2 linked regions of the Drosophila melanogaster genome follow. The protein of the gene in region 1 interacts with the protein of each later gene in a pairwise test. Each region holds a gene or a part of one and is shown on either strand. Other genes may lie near its edges.

Region 1 (4,906 bases):
CTATGCTAATAACCAATATTTTAGAGCCAAGCCGCCGTCTGCCGTTGAAATTGTCGCCAGGCCAGCAGCAACAAAAGCAACGGGCGAAAAAAACAAACTTTTCACAGATAGCTGAGCTGAGCTGAGCTGAATCATGCCGCAGACAAAGGATATGTGGGTATGATGCGCTGGCAGCTGGGAAAGGAAGTCGAGAATGGGCCAGACGAGTAGTACAAGGCATTAATTTAACAGGATAATTGAAAATGAATAGTTGCATGTGGCAAGATGTGTGAGGGGCAGGAACGTACAACATCCGGACATGCGACAAATCAATGCGGAACCAGGAAGGGACCGTAGATAATAATTTAGAGGGAATTTCCCTTGAGCCAATCGGGGATTTCCCAGACTAGCGACTGCTGCACCGTTTTAACGACCAGCTGAGGCTTTAAAGGGTTTATTAATAAGGGCAGCAGTGGAAATTATTCATGGCTTATTCAGAAGAGTTCAGTTCATTATGGAAAGTCAATAAAAACTATAGATGCCGTGGATATTCATTAACAGTTGTTTGTTAGCAGATGTTCTATGAAAAGATCCTTGAAGCCATTGCTGTGTAAAGTATTCGATTTACACAACTCCAAAATATCATAAACTCGTATACCTTAAACTTTAGGCGTGTAAATCATTAAAGCTAATCATTTAATTTAAATGTTTCATAACACTGCACTGCAGCCGAATTGATAGTAATAATCTCTCCATTTAACGGATTTCCTTTCACAAATAAACATTGAAATATTGACTATTCATAGCTTACCTTTAGCCACAAGCTCATATGCTTGGTGGTCAATGCGAATTTTGCCTGGGTCTGCGATTTCGATTTCGATTCGATTATTTGGTTTTGATTTCGGTTTTTGGTTTGTGTGATTCGTGTGTGGATTATTTAGTTTAAAGAGAATTTGACGTTAAGAATTGGTGATTAGACACACTTTAGGTTTGGAAGAATATATATATATATAAATATATATATATTTAGATTGGGTTAAGGTTTAATTTATATTGTTGTTTGTTTCTGGTAGCTGCTGTTTGGTTTTCTGTTCAGTTTTGGCTTCTGGCTGCCAATTGCGAATTCCAACTCTGGTTTAGTTGGCCAGTTGGGAATTCGAGTACAACAAAATTTAACTTGGCAAACACAACGAAGGAACGATGGAACGAACGCATCAAACGAACTTGGGAACTACGAGGAACGAGAAACGAAACGAAACGGAATGGAACGGATATTATGTAACTTTACGGGGATAACGTACAATAGAATGTGTAATTTTGATCCACCGATCGACCCAATCATTATGTGTGTGTGTCTGTGTGTGTTCAACATTCTCAAATTATAAATCGATAATCTTTAGTTATTTGATGATTTCTCGAGCATGCAGGTTGGTTAAGAAGCAGGCAATGGTTGAACATCTAATAGAAACTCAAGGATTTGGTAGAAATGGGGCTTCTATTTACAATCGGGACTCCAGCCAATCAGTGGAAGTTTTAACGAGTGCCAACGCACAGGAACCATCTTGAGAACTTCACTTTTTCAGATGTTATTCTCAGTCGGTCTTCCCAAATTTCAAGGACTCGAGTGGGAAAGTTTGTTTTCTTAGGCAGGAGAAGTTAACAGAGTGGATAAAAGTTCGATTCAAGGCATGTTAACTAGACAGAACAAGAAAGACAGACAGAGATGGAGCGACAGACAGAGACAGAGATAGAGTGAGAAAGAGAGAGGCAGACCGATATAAAGTATAGTTATAGTTCTTATTTGCTAGTATAAAACAAAAATGAGTGTGGTTTATTTTTAATAGTTGTCAACAGTCTAGATCTAAAGTGGTAAAAATGGCAAGACAAATCGGGTAATGATTCTATGGTTGCTTAGTAAGTTATTAAGTTATTTTTATTTTTTTAATAGAGAATGGGCGCTACGTCTTTTGATTTTTTATCGAGGAAATAGATAGAGCTACGCTAGAGGTTCTAGAGGGATGCTAAATGCACATATTACGGGAACGAACACATCTAGTAATGCATTTTTTTGGTGGAGCTCACATTTTTCAACATTTGACGACATTTTGGACAAGTGGACTCGGAATCTGGACTCTGCCTTTCTTTCTTTTACATTTAACTCTTTTCTTGTTATTTGATTGCGAAGTGGTTCAGATCGAGGCTGGTAGTTGGTGGTTGTGGTTCTTGGTGGTGGTGGTACTAGTGGTTGTGGTGGAAGTAGTAGTTCTAGTGGTGGTGGGCGGTGGCATTAGCTTTAAACTAGCGGGCGAGCGGTGAGCGTGAGGCGGTGGTGGGTGCAACGTTTATTTTATTTCTTTGGGTTTTTGTTTTTTCCTTAGCGTTCAGCGGTTCTCAGTTCACTTATTGTCTTGTATTTGCATTGGTTTTCTTTCTATTTGGGCAGTACGAAAACAAAATTAACGTAAACTGATTTGCCATGCCCCTTGGTCCTTATTATTATATACTTTGTTTTATCATTTTGCAGACAACGCACAACTTAAAAGCAAACTAAACAAACTGTAAGCGAGTGCCAATGACACCGGGATCAGATGAGGGGGGGTGCTGGTGGGGGTGGTGTCTCGGTGGTTTGTTGTATGGCTGCGATGACGTCGACGGCGACGGCAAGTGGTTGGAAATGAAGTTTTGAAGGCAACGTGGCGCAAAAGTTGAGCGAAGGGGGTGGGTGCGGTGATTGAGGGGGAGCGGCTGGCCAGGGAAAAAAAAACAACCCTCCGCTTGACAGGCGCTGCTGACTCAGAGCGAGAGAGCAATATCACTTGTCAGGAGAAACAGCAAAAAAAACGAGAAACTACACGATGAATTAACTAAAAGAAGACAAAATAAACACACACACACACACTTTGACAGAGCGACAAGCACACAGGACGGCAAATCGGTTAACGGTTAAACAGTTAGCGGTTCAACGGGACAACTCAAAACCGAAAGCGGAGATCGCGAAGAGTTGCAATCGGGGAATCAATTAAACAGCTGTAAGCACATAGCTTCGCATCACATGCAAATGGCCAGAAGGTTGAGTACAATAATACATATTAAGCGTGGGTTTGTGTTATTTCTTATTTCGCTTCCTCCTGCTGTTTGCACACTCATCAAAACACACACATCTACGCGCACGCACACTCGCACACGCACACTGGGCGCACAAACACTGGAAAAAAAAGTATGTGACTGGAAGAGTGGGGAGTCGGTATCCCATGCGTACGCCTTGCGAATTCGTGACTCGTCGGCAGCACGTTCAAAGAAGGACTAAAACTAAACCAAGCCAAACAAGACCAGCAACTGAGCGCTGTCTATGTGTTGGTCGATCGGAGGGGGGCTGGACAAAGAGAGCGGCAGTCCCGTTACGCGCTGTTAACGCAACAGCGGGATGATGTTAAGGTTAACCCTTAACTGCACTACATCCGTGACATCTGCTTTACTTAATATCATTGATTCAGCTGTTTGTATTTTAGTCCTAGACGATGAAAGAACTTCATTCAAAAAAAAAAATAGTTCCTCTTCTCCCTTAAGACAAAAATTACTTTCCTTGAAATAGTTACAATCAATAATTACGTAAAAATAATTAGCAAAACTTAAAGAATACAAATGAAACGTCTTTCTCCAAATCCAAAGACTGTTTTTTAAACATATACATTATATGTCATAAAGTTAAGTTCGAATTACTTATGGGTTAATAATACGCAAAGGGTACAAGTGTTAAGCTACCAAAGTTAACAGAACTTATGTATGTTAACCTAACTGTTTCCCATAGTCAACAGAGAGAACAAGAGAGGGAAGGAGAAAATTAAAGAGAGCGAGAGTGGCGCATGTGGGGAACGCGACAAGTGGCGGTCAATTTGAATTGACATTCAATTTTAGTCTGGCAATGTCAATTCAAAGCAGAAAGCAAATAAATATGTACACAATTAATTAATGAAACAAGATTTAAAATATCGCCTGCTATTTTTAATGAATACATTCAGATATGTTGCACAGGACACCATGCACTACCATCAAATTTTCTTTACAGCTTGACAGCTTGTTGGAAACATGTGACTAACGGAAGAAGTATTTCAGACTGGCAATGTTGTGCAGAGCACAGACTTTTGTCTGCAATATTTTGACATTTCGAAGGGCAAAAGAACGCTTGCACGATGACAAGGGTGAAGAGGAAAGTCAAAATAATAAAAATTTGTAAATTGTGAGGGCTCTTTCCAAACTTTCTCATTCTCTCTTTTCTCTCTTGCTTGAATATGGTACGATTGCCAAAGACATGTTGCTACTAAAATAGACACACACAATATGCTTGTACATGTGTGTGCGTGCGCTAAACGCTGGAGCATACTTAAGTGCGTTCGCACTCGATTAATTAGCAAATTGAAGCCATCCGACTTTGGCAGTTGGTCAAAGGCAATCGGCACGGAAATCAGCGCAACTAGCCACTGACAACTGTCAATAAGATGAGCACTTTACATAATAAGTACTCTCTCAGCCACACACTCGCACAACAACCCACATAGGGAACATACAGTGACACACACACATAAAAGAAACACGCACGAACACATTGGCAAATCAGGCGAACACGCGCGCGTTTATGGGCCGCAGAATTTTCGGGGGAAATTTAATTTAAGTCTCTAATTATCGAAGACAAATTCGGAAGAATGTATTGAAATTAAATCGTTTACATTTACCGTAAACGCCCTTAATATCCACGATTTTTACACAAATTCGGTTAGGTTTTAAATAATATTGTTTATTATCGTATATCTGTTTAATTGGCGTTTTTGGCGTGTTTGTGTGCGCACCGTATTGGTTAAACGAAGTGCTCCAAATGCTGAGAACACACTGAAACTAAAACGGACGAGGAACTTACGCTGAAGTCATGGCT
Region 2 (5,110 bases), 7.7 Mb from region 1:
AGTGGCGCACTTTAAAAATGCCGCCTCTCATAGATTTTCATTTTCCATTTCCATTTTGCCCCCACCCCAGAAAGTGGAGTGCCATGTTTTGAGGTCAGAACCCCCCCCCCTTATAGCCTCCTCCTAATGATGATGGCTTGACAAATATTTATTGCTTAAGCATTTGAGTGCAAATATTTTAATTAGTCTGGCGACAAGACAACAGATCTGGAAATGGAAAGTATAGATGGAACTGGATCTGGGATTCGGACTTCTGGACTTCTGGATTCTGGGCCCCATTTCTCAACGCTGATGAGGCTTAATGAACTGCAAAGCGGCCCTCAATTGTCTTCAATTAACCAAATTAACCAAGGGATAAATTGCTTGCCTTTCGAATGCCCTCGTCTGCATTTCTTTTTAGAGATGAGATGAGAAATTAGCTGGCAGATGCAAATACCAGGCAATAAGTCTTTTCTTATTGTACCTAAATGATATAAAATACCAATTATTCATTAAACGAAGCACTTTCTTAAACAAAAAAAAAAAACAGGCAAAACGGATGAGCGCAGCAGTCAAATCGGTGGAACCGATACGGCAGAAACTGTCAAAAAGCCTGACAGCTCCGCTCTCAAGGTAATCCATCCAGCGCGGTGGGGCAAAAGGGGGTGACGAACATAATTTGTGGCATGCAAAGAACTAACAAAGCGACAGGCAGGCGAAAAAAAAAAAACAAAAAAAATGCAAAATCGCAGGGCGAAATTGAAAAGGAAAAATAAGTTTCGACATGCTGACGAGGACGCGTCAAAACGATCCAACAAATGCGGCCTCGCCAATCGATAACACAGCAACAAAAAGTGCAGGAGAAATACAGGCGGCAGCAACAACTTGCGACATGAGCATGTTGCACTTCCTGCCACGCCTACCGAACGCCTCTTTTGCCATCCTTTTCCCACACTCCCCAATTTCCTCCTGTCGATTGTTTCAGACGTTTTTAGCAATTTGCAATGCCAGCAAATTGGGCCAAATTATAAAATCCAAAAGCTACACACACGTTCCCAAATACACTTTAAAAATATTTTTTCTTTTTGTTTTCAAACCAAAAAACTTAATAACGTTATTCAAAATGAATTTATAGGAGCTTCAATCAAGATAAATAAGTATGAAAATAAGTTAATTTCAATTAAAAAAAAAAAGAACAAATACTTTTTCTGGTCAAAGACTAACTTTTTTTGAGACTAGTTTTCTTAATCGTGCTTTAGCAAATCTCCCAGCCAATCAATATTTTTCCGGTGTTTATCATGCGACATATATGAACCCAGAGGATGGAGCAGAGTAAGTAAAAGGTTAGCTTGCCAAAGAAGATTGAAACTTTGCTTGCTTTTTTAATGACAAGGGACAGGTGCGTGAGTCTGAAGATACGCTTGTATATGCATTTGCAGATGTTTGAGTATCTGTGTGCAATGTATCGATGTATTGGTAAAGCTTCTGGGCCTTCAGCTTCTTTAGCTCGCATTTCTGTTCTTTAACACCACAGCCGCTAGCAACATTTTCTTCGCTTACAGCTGGGGGGAGTTACACAGAGAAAAATTTTATGAGTAATAAATAAATTTCTATTGGATTTGGAATAATTGATTTATGATTTTTGAATGTGTCAATAAGAGAGTCGAATTACTGGCATTTCACTTAATCAATGACAAAAGGAATTAAATGTATTTGCAAATTTATTTACTTAAAACCAAATGAATTAATCCATAAATGTCAGAAATAAACCATTGAAATAGGTATACCATTCGAATGTTATAAATAAATATACGCATTAAAGAATTACACCAAAGCGCACATTTAATATACATTGCCTATTATGTAGATTAAAACTTGAAGTTGAATGTTATACTCATTAAAGTTTATCGTTTGCCGTAAATTATTCAGAATGATTTTAGCATTGTTTAGCATATATTCAAGTAGATTTTTTGTTTGTGTACATACTTGTATACGAACAAAAAATCATTCTATACATTTAATATTAATTTTTCAACTTAAGTGCTTACGAAATGCCTAATCGTTGACTAGCTTTGTACATTTTGTTTTTCAAAGTTATTGCTTTAAATCATAAATCATGCAAAACCAAGGAAAGAAGAGATCGAATCAGTTAAGAAGAGCACTTTTTTCTATAGATGCTCAGAGGGATGGAATGGTCAGAAGAAGCTAATTAGGTGTCCAAGGTCTGGAGTTGAAGATCTATTATTGTAGAGGGGAAAGTATATCTGTGATATACAACTTAACATAGATTTTGTATAATAAACCTCATTTTCAGATTGATAAGATCTAAACGTTATTCGAAAGATGGTAATTTAATTTATTTTATATTTTATTACATTTTAATATTTTCAGCAACTAGTACTTGCCATTGGGCATTTCATTAGGCAGAAAGGAAAATATAAATTTTGCTTTAACAAAGTCTACTTACAACCAAAAATCATGCTTCCATTTTCAATTAAAAACACATATATTTTCTTCGAAAAAAAAAAAAATACACTCAAGCAAACTCGAAATCCAAATGCCAAAGTGGCCAAAAGCGAAACTTTTGAGGGGCCAAAAGAGGCGGAGACTTGGCCAGTAACAGTATATTATAAACAAAATCAAACGAAAAGGTCAAAGTGAGGGAGCAGCTGTTGCAGTTGGCGCATGAAAAAAGCCAAAAGCACAGGAGTTTTCTTTAGATTTTACTGATGAACTTTTTTACTCACACTGTTTGTTTGTAATCAATTTAAACAATTTCGGCTCCTTAGTCCTCTTATATGCATATATATTTTTAACTGACTCTGACCGGCCACTGGCACTAATCCATAATTGTTGGGTTGACAATTTTCAGCTTGTTTGGTTTTTCGGGCTTTGTTTTTATGATAGCCTTGTTTATTCCATTTTAAGCACACACTTTTCCACTGGTAATCCACACCAAAATGAAATTTTTTGGCTTGCGTTTGCACCAAAAAAAAAATTGACGTTTAGTTATATATTTCGTTTTAATTATCTGAGATTTACTGAGAGTTTTCTCGGGCGAATATGCGATGCGAGTTCTCGTCTTCGGGGTCTCGAAAAGTATCTGTGAGATACCAGCTATCGAAAGTACGGAGTTTCCGCCGCTACGAAGCGAACGGTACGAGCGAACGGAACGAAGTGCGAACTCGATCCAAAAATCCGACTTCTTCGGCCGGCGCGGCTTGTCTTCAAACAAAACAAAGCGACGCAACATGTTCGATGATGTTGCAAGTGGTGTTTCAGGCTCTAACAGCATGCAACAGGGCTAACAGCGCGGCTCGATGCAACCTCTGTTCTATGTTGTTATTCATTTGGATTATGTTTGGCAGCCAATGTTTTTTTAAATTCCCATATATATGGGATATATGTTTTCATATCATATATTTACTATAAGTTTTCAGATGCAATGTATAAATTATATTAAAAAATATTATAAATTATTTATACGAATCAATTTAGTGTTCGCTATACATATCTTTTTTGTTTCTGTGCACGCAAATTTGGGGATATTGCCAGCCGATGTGCCACGATTTTTGGCCATCTGTCTTTTGGCCTTAATTGCACTCTGATTTGCTGTTAGCAGCGCCACCTTCCGCCAAAAGTGTGGACCACCAACTGTTGCCGGAGAAGATAAAAAACAAAAAAAAAAAGATCACATAAAGTATAAACCCTTTAAACACTGCAGATTGAGATAAAGTAGGAGAATTGGCCGTCAAGAGGTCAATGCTGTCGGGACAGCAGCTGTTCACCAATCTCTCCTCCTTCTTCGCACCCACAATTCTTCCCGTTTTGGTAGAAATCTGCAGTCTTTCTTCCGATTGTGGAATGCCAGAAGGGCTGTGAAGAGCGACATATGGTCCTCTACAGAGCAATTTGAGTAAAAAGTCCAAATCTGTGGCTTGACAAAACGGCGGAAATCCCATGGGAACCACACAGAGAAGTGTTTAACATGATTTTCAAAAAGAAGCTATTAATTTATCATTAAATTAGCTTAATTTTTACATTAAGCAGCCCTTTTTTGAAGTGCCAACATTCCTGCGCTTTTTGCTGCATGCATAATTTTAGTTGGCTTAAGAACATTTCAAATGTCACACTTGTAGTAAAGCCAAGCTCAGCTGAAAACTCAAACACTGTGGGAGCCATTTTACTAGGTGCGACTTGTTAATCAATCGACTGCATGATGAGTTGATTCTAAGTTTTCCCATAATTGAATCGATACACAAGCTGTGCGCTCCACGAGAGATAGGGAGATACAAAAGATACAAAGATACTACCAGCGATGAAGATGGACTGTTGGATGGGAAGATTTCGGCACTGGAGACATGCAAGACCAAAATAAACAAGTTTCGGAAGGGAAATTTATGGCACGATTGCTGCGAACGCAATTTAAACTACGCGTGTGAGGGAGGCACCGCCGGAAAATCGGAAAATTCGGAGCGAGTGATGAAGTGTCGGCTCTCTTCCAATTTTCCGCTCTCTCTTCGCGCCTCTTTCCACGCATTGCTTGCCTTTTCGAGGGGGGATTTTCCAAGCACCGCTGATTTTCTTCGGCTCCCCAAGTAATTGTCATGTAATTTATGGCCGCCGTATGGGAATATCAATGCATTGCGCTCTAAATTTACACAAAGACGAAAGATAAGGCGAACGTTGTTGCATAGTCAGGGCATTTCCTCTACATATGCGTAGTCCAAAATTGTTTATAAACACCCCAACAAACTATAACAAAAAGCCTTTCTCGATAAGAAGGTTCATAGCCAGATCCCATAAATTCCATTCGCAAGATAGGATTTCTGTTGCAGCATTTTGAAACACTATATTACCAATAAAATCGAAATGCATGCACAAGTTTTGTCCTTAAATATTTCAGATAGCTCCCCTATCACGCACACCCTTTTTAACCCCAAACAAATTTGTTATAGCTAATTTGTGGTTTTTTCTTTTCAAATATATAAACTCATGGAATCTATACAACGTTTTAAAGTATTTCTTGAATTCAAGACTTATTTCCATAGCATTGTATCAAATCAAATGCTCTGTTTATCGCTATTTTTAGTTGACAGTTTTGGCTGCTCATTAATATGGTTAAAAGGTG

What was found.
Region 2: the proteins of X11Lbeta (region 1) and rst interact in a two-hybrid assay, tested with the Drosophila melanogaster proteins (one study listed by BioGRID).

The regions. Positions count from the first base shown.
Region 1 is NC_004354.4:10,627,693-10,632,598, reverse strand, and holds the start of X11Lbeta (X11Lbeta), read right to left. Parts: upstream 3,283-4,906; 5' UTR 3,184-3,282; intron 2,426-3,183; exon of another isoform or gene 1,211-2,425; 5' UTR 791-1,210; intron 1-790.
Region 2 is NC_004354.4:2,970,675-2,975,784, forward strand, and holds the start of rst (roughest), read right to left. Parts: upstream 3,161-5,110; 5' UTR 2,727-3,160; intron 1-2,726. UniProt on the Drosophila melanogaster protein: Required for correct axonal pathway formation in the optic lobe and for programmed cell death in the developing retina.